2 linked regions of the Cricetulus griseus genome follow. The protein of the gene in region 1 binds, or shares a complex with, the protein of each later gene. Links are inferred from orthologs where the notes say so. Each region holds a gene or a part of one and is shown in the gene's direction. Other genes may lie near its edges.

Region 1 (3,188 bases):
GCTCCACTAAAAACAAATTTTTTTTTAAAAGATTTTATTTATTTATTATGTATACAACATTCTGCTTCCATGTATATCTGCACACCAGAAGAGGGCACTAGATCTCATAACGGATGGTTGTGAGCCACCATGTGGTTGCTGGGAATTGAACTCAGTACCTCTGGAAGAGCAGTTGGCCCTCTTAACCTCTGAGCCATCTCTCCAGCCCCCCTAAAAACAAAATTTTGAATGAAAAAAAAAGCATGAAGGGAAAAAGCTGGGTGGTGATTGTACACCACTTTAATTCCAGCACTGAGGAGGCAGAGGCAGACATATCTCTGTGAGTTCGAGGCCAGCCTGGTCTACAAAGCAAGTTCCAAGACACCCAGAGCTGTTACACAGCGAAACCCTGTCTTGGAAAAAAAGTAGTCAACAACAACAAAAAGCATTAAGGACCAGGGCTGGAGAGATGTCTCAGTGGTTAAGAGCACTGGCTGTTCTTTCAGAGGACCTGGGTTCAATTCCCATCACCCACATGGCAGCTCATAACTATCTATAACTCCAGTTCCCACGGCTCTGACACCTTCACACCATTCATATAAAATAAATTTAAATGAATTTTTTTTTTTTTTTTTTTTTTTTTTTTTGGCTTTTTGAGACAGGGTTTCTCTGTGTAGCTTTGGAGGCTATCCTGGCACTTGCTCTGGAGACCAGGCTGGCCTCAAACTCACAGAGATCCGCCTGCCTCTGCCTCCCGAGTTCTGGGATTAAAGGCATGTGCCACCAACGCCCAGAAAACTTTTTTTTTTTTTTTATAAAGATTTACTTACTTGTGCAAGATACAATGGTGCATGCCATTAATCCCAGAATTTAGACTAGTTGTCTCAGAACAGCTGGGGCTACATGGAGACCTTTCTCAAAACAAATCAACAACAAAAAAGATTTGCCTATTTTTATTTGTATGAGTGTTTTACCTGTATGTATGTGCACCATGTGCGTGTCTGGTACCCCTAGAACTGGAATTACTGATGAATGTAAGCCACCAATGCAAGTCGGGTCAGGGAACCCAACTGAGATCTTTTGTAAAAGCAGCAAGTACTCTTAACCATTCAGCTATCTCTCTGGTCCTCACTCGCTTTTATTTAATGCTTAATTTATTCTTTTTTTATTCTTTAATTACTAATCATATTTATATATCCATCCTCCCCTGAATTTATTCTTGTGTCATACTTTTTCTTTGGTTTTTGGAGACAGGGTTTCTCTGTGCAGCCGTAGCTTTCCTGAGCTCACTTTGTAGACCAGGCTGGCGTCAAACTTACAGAGATCTGACTGCCTCTGCCTCCCGAGTGCTGGGGTTAAAAGCCTGTGCCGCGCCACCCTGCACATTTTTGTTTTTTAGTCTTTTCCTGGGTTATCTTTTCTTCTGTGAAGCCACCTGGCTGGGAACAGTTTGTTCCTTTGCAGAGAGGATCATCTCATTGAGGCAGGGGTAGCTCATGCCTGGATTAATCCACAATGATCTCTACTTTTAACAGTGCATCTTAGCTGCTTTGTAACTAGAGAATCTACAGCTAAAGCCTTAAATTCATTAAACAAAAAAAAAAAATCAATGCTGTGGGTGGAGATGGTGGTCTTTAATCCTAGCACTAGGGAGGCAGAGGCAGGTGGATCTCTGAGTTCAAAGCCAGCCTGATCTACAAAGCAAGTTCCAGGACAGCCAGGACTACACAGAAATCCTGTCTGAAAAAAAAAAAAAAACGGAAGATTTGAACCTCTTGATTTGCATTTTGATGCAGGATTTTCTGGGTCAGGAGAGTATCAAACCATTGTCACTTACAGGAAGAGTTCTTTCCTCATTCTTTTTGGCCGGAAGATGGATGGAATCTAGGGTGGTGCAAGCTCCACTAAAGGGCCCTCTCTTTCCTCATCCCTGGTAGAAAGGATTACTCATGCCCTACTTACTGATAAGGTAGCTTGTTTTGCTACACCAAGGCATTCTCCACCTTTGAGGTGTACCTGGTAGACTGGCCAGGCATTGCCTTGCTCAGCTGAAATTTGATAAAAGCTGAGCAGAGGGGATCCCTGTGTTCTTAATTTGATTTGCTCCACACGCTGGTATTTCTGGCACCTGTGCCCTTTTATACAGCTTCCTGGTATCCTGAGCCTTCTGAGATCTCTGGCCTAACGATCAATCCTGGTATTCAGTAGCCTCCAGGGATCCTTGGGCCCACAACATACAAATATGCAAAGCCCTGTTGAGTACACATTTTACATCAGGGCAAACCAAAATGTAGGCTCCGAGGTATGGCATGAGCAACACGGCTCGAGCGTGTGAGATGGAAAAACCTGCCTGGAAGTTAAACCTACTCCCCCCCCTCCCGCCCCCAAGGCTGCTCCATCCAGGGGCCCCTGAACTCCGACATCTGGGACAAGATCTTCATGCAGCTGCAGGAGCTGCAGTTGTGCAGCAAACGCCTGAGCACAAGGGACCGAGATGCAGTGTGTCGGAGACTGCCGGCCAGCGCGTGCTCACTGGACCAAGGTCCCAAGCTCTTCTTTAAATGCCTCTGACCCTGGTCCTGTCGTCTCTACCCCCCTCCACCCCCCCCACAAAAAACTTAATAAACTAAGCTGCTGTCCCCTTCGTGTGGCTGTCTGGGAAAGGGGTGGACGACGTGAGACTTGACAGGCGCTGCTGCCCCAGAGCGCAGGCCCAGGCCGAGAGGACGAGCGCCGACCCTCTGATTGGGCCTGCTCTGTGCGTAGGCTTAGGTGGGGAGAGTGAGCGCCGAGCTGCCGATCGGGCTTCCCGGCAGGCACAGGCGGAAAAAGCGTACACTGAGCTGCTGTCGCCATCTCCGGGCCTCCAAACGCCCCAGGTACGCAGCGGCTACGGCCACCGGGTCCCACAGCAAAGGAACCCTTTGGGCTCAGTGTCCCGATCCCATTTCCTTTGGGGCTCAGCGGCCCTTGCCGCGCGGTCCGTGTCTCAGTAGGCGGTGGGCGCTGTCAGGTGACACCACGGGCTCCTAGCTCAGGTCTCCCTGGCTGTGAGGGTGCCCATCTTCCTCTGGGGACTCCGCTGGCTGTTCCTAGCCCCTGGGACCTCAGTAGCTCAGGCTCTTCATCAAGCCACTCCATCTCGGTTTGCCTACCTTCATTGAACTTTTCTTTTCAGCCCATTTCAAATCTCGAGGCGAGTTTTAGCT
Region 2 (3,818 bases), about 260 Mb from region 1:
ACCATGAATTAAGAAAATGCCGTAAGCCGGGCATTGGTGGCGCATGCCTTTAATCCCAGCACTCGGGGAGCAGAGGCAGGCAGATCTCTGAATTCGAGGCTAGACTGGTCTACAAGAGCTAGTTCCAGGACAGCCTCCAAAGCCACAGAGGAACCCTGTCTGGAGAAAAAAAAAGAAAATGCCTTTCCCTACAGGCAATCTGGTTGAGGCATTTTCTCAAATGAAGTTCTTCCTAGATGACTAACTTGTATCAACTTGACTAGGAACTAATCAGGGCAGTAATTCTTTTTATTTTCTGAACTACTATATAGCAGTATGATACAGTTTAACATAAAACTTAACCTTAAAAATGTTTGTTGTATCTTAAATTTCCTGAAGATAGAAATATCTCATTGTTACCAAAGGCTGTGATTTTGAAATAGTTTCTGAGATCATTTGTCTAAAGATACTTTTGTAAGTTTAGAGAGATGTACTTTATCTTAAAAAATTTGCGGTGTCTGAAGCTGACTTTTTTTTGCTTCTTTGTGGTTTTCGTATCGTGCATTCCCATCCCGCTTATCTCCCTGTTCCATCAGATCTTCCCTCTGCCCTTGCAACCCCCCCAAACAAAACCAAATTTAAACGGAAAAACCAAACCAAACAAAAACAAACAAAAGAAGAAACTTGTCATGGAAGCTTTTAATAAACATTTACAAAGTGAATTATAAAATAATGGAGCTATCCTGTAGTGTTAGAAACCTAACCCATGTAATTGGTATACACTTTACATTGTGCTAAAATTTACTCTCACATTTTTTTAAATCAGGCAACAGCTATTCAACTTGGAATCCTTAGTTCAAGTCAACTGTGATTTTGGTAAGTTTAATGTGTGCTTAATCACAGAAGAATGCCACTCTATTACACTGATGTATAATTGGGGTTTCATGAAAATGTGAAGTAAGTGCCTTTTTAGAGGGTCAGTGACTCTCAACGTTTGGGTTGACCCCTTCAGGGGTCACATATAAGAGATCCTGGATATTTACAGGATCAGATATTTACATTACAATTCATAACAGTAACAAAATTACAGTTAGGAAAGTAGTAACGGAAATAATTTTATGGTTGGAGGTTATTACAATATGAGGAACTGTATTAAAGGGTCACAGCATTAGGAAGGTTGAGAACCACAGTGTATCTGGTATTTTGAAAGAGTATGACATTTAAATTTTGTTAATGGTGAGAGTTATAGTATTTTTGTGAATTTTGTAGGATTTAAGGTAAATCTGACTTGAAAAAAACTTAAACTTTTCTAAGAGGATTATTTCTTTGGAATTGTGGAACGGGGTGGGAAATATAAATACAAGATAAAAAGTAACAGATCTCCCAGGACTCTTGGTCATCTCTCCTGCTTTCTACTTCTCTTTCCTTATGGCATTTAGCTGATTGCTGATTGCTTTATGTTGTTTCTGGTTTTTTAAGTTTAAGATAGGAGATATAGAACATAAGAAGCCTGGCAAACCTTTCTGATGTGTGGTGATTTATGGTTTTCATTCCTGCTTATTAGAAACTTGAACTGTTCTAACTGGTGTGCACTTTGTAGAGTTGTTTCCAATGTACTTTTTTAGTCTAAGGTGATGTTTCCTCTTATCACTGGGTAGATCAGCAGCTAAGGAGACCTGTAAATCACCACTCTATCTTACCTGGTTTCTTTGTTCTAGTGTGCTTTTGTCCAATATGTTTAATTTTTTAAAACTGAGATTGGCTGTCTCCTTAAGTAGGTTCTGTCTAGGTTCTCCCTGGGATAGTGGCTTAGAAACTACCTCTGTGTAGGAAGCTGTTATGATCATAAAGTTCCATTTCTAGGATAGAATTTAATTGTCATGATTGTAGTACTTGAAAACTTACTTTATGTTGTTTCTTGTTTTTTAAGTTTAAGATGGGAGATATAGAACATCTGAACTCTTTATTCCATCTTGCCCAGATGCAGAGGTTTTAGCAATTTTTAGAAAATACTATTTTCATGAGCTGAGATTTGTCAAAACTGTGTTTTGTGGTCCTGTGACAGAGTACCTGAGACAAAAGTCTTATTTAAGTATGGTTCTAGAGACAGAAAAAGTTATATCTGGTAGCTCCTTATTATAAAGGCACAAGATGGGCCTCATAGGCACCTGGAAAAGAGAGAAAGCTTGAGTAGTGAACTATGGTTGCAGCAGACCACACTGTCCTAGTAAATAATCACACCGTCTTAGTGAGTAATGGAATCTGTGATGGTGAGATGTCATTCATCCTTCTTGATAGTCGACTGGTCAGCTCTTCAGGCCCCTTTACTCCTAACCCCACTACAGTGGAAACTAAATTTCAGTGAAAGCTTTGGAGGGACAAACCAAACTAATACTATAGTAAAGATCAAAAAGATTTTACTTATTGGTGACATATCAAAGAGCAGTTTTAATATTTAGCTGTTAGCATAATCTTACTATTATTTCCAACTGCAATTTTTACAAAGTAGTAGCAATTTTATTCAAATGCTCATTTGAATTCAAACAAGTTTTATGTTAAATATGTATGAGAAATTTTTGTCCATAATTCTTACCCTGTTTTCTCTGTCTTTGTTTAGCTTTTGTCTCTCATAATTGTCAGTGTTTTGCATATAGCAGCAATGTATATAATTCTTAGTGATGTAGTTATTAAAGAAATTGAGTGAAACAGGTGGCAGAAGATGAGTTTAGGTGAATTATTCAAAGGCTATTTGGGCCTTATAAATCATTGTAAGGAGTTTTATTTCATTTTATATATAATATATATATATATAATATATATATATATATATAGGCCTTTATGTGCATTGACTTGAGAGCAACAAGAAATATGTAAAGTCCTATGGTGTGTTCTAATGAGAGACTAGAGAAAGTGGGTTATTTCAAGGTGTATTTGTTGTAAATACTTAATAGGTTAGATTTAAGATAAGCCTGTAAAAAAATTTTGGCCACTGTTCACTGACAGTTGTTTAAGCTATCTTTGATAGTGTCTATTTCCTTTTCAGGGAAGATAGCCACCTTACACTCCAAAGCAGACAGTATTAGGCAGCGATGTGTAACATTTCTCCACTACATTAAAGTTTTCATCTTCAGGTAGGAAAACGAATGGGTATTTTTCTTACTGCATGGATATCTGTGGGTATATTCACATAGATTCTTGTATACTTATTGTATCTAATGCCTTTTTAGGTGCCTGAAAGTACAAGACACCGAGAGCCACAATCTTCATGTCCATCCCTATGAGGCTTTGGAAGCTCAGCTTCCTTCGATGTTGGTTGATGAACTTCGTGGATTGCTTCTGTATATTGGACATCTAGCTGAACTTCCCAGTGTAACTCTAGGAGCATTTGTAAATCAAAACCAGATTAAGGTTTGATTAGTTTGTTTTTTAAATTATCCAACATTTTTCTCCCTCAAGAAAAAGTGTTCAAGTATAAGAAGAATTGGTACAAGCATGGCATGAAATGAAACTATGATCTCCTGTCAGGTTAATTGTGTGTTTTTACTATATAAATGTGCCTCTCCTTAGTTTCTCCATTTCCACAGCTTACTAAGCTTCTAGGAGTTATGGGAAGTATTAAATGATTAGTTTGCCTAAAGTGCTTACAATACTACTCTGAATCAATAGCTGTTCTCTATTTGAAAGTGTAAATGCTTAGAAATTTCAAATAAAAATTAACATCTTTGAAATTTCTGTCATTCTCATCAATAAAGGTTCGGGCAAATGCCATTTCATTTATATGTTACAGTGAAATTTAAGAAAAGGTATTTTTTTTTAAGACAGTGTCTTAAAAATCTGAG

What was found. The genes of interacting proteins can lie anywhere in the genome.
Region 2: Tonsl (region 1) and Mms22l share a complex: the UniProt entries of both Homo sapiens proteins name them as parts of the MMS22L-TONSL complex. The link is inferred for Cricetulus griseus from reciprocal best matches to the Homo sapiens genes TONSL and MMS22L.

The regions. Positions count from the first base shown.
Region 1 is NC_048595.1:373,903,586-373,906,773, reverse strand, and holds the end of Tonsl (tonsoku-like protein), read left to right. Parts: intron 1-2,368; coding exon 2,369-2,550; 3' UTR 2,551-2,619; downstream 2,620-3,188. UniProt on the Homo sapiens protein: Component of the MMS22L-TONSL complex, a complex that promotes homologous recombination-mediated repair of double-strand breaks (DSBs) at stalled or collapsed replication forks.
Region 2 is NC_048595.1:117,163,728-117,167,545, reverse strand, and holds part of Mms22l (protein MMS22-like), read left to right. Parts: intron 1-805; coding exon 806-855; intron 856-3,022; coding exon 3,023-3,110; intron 3,111-3,206; coding exon 3,207-3,387; intron 3,388-3,818. UniProt on the Homo sapiens protein: Component of the MMS22L-TONSL complex, a complex that promotes homologous recombination-mediated repair of double-strand breaks (DSBs) at stalled or collapsed replication forks.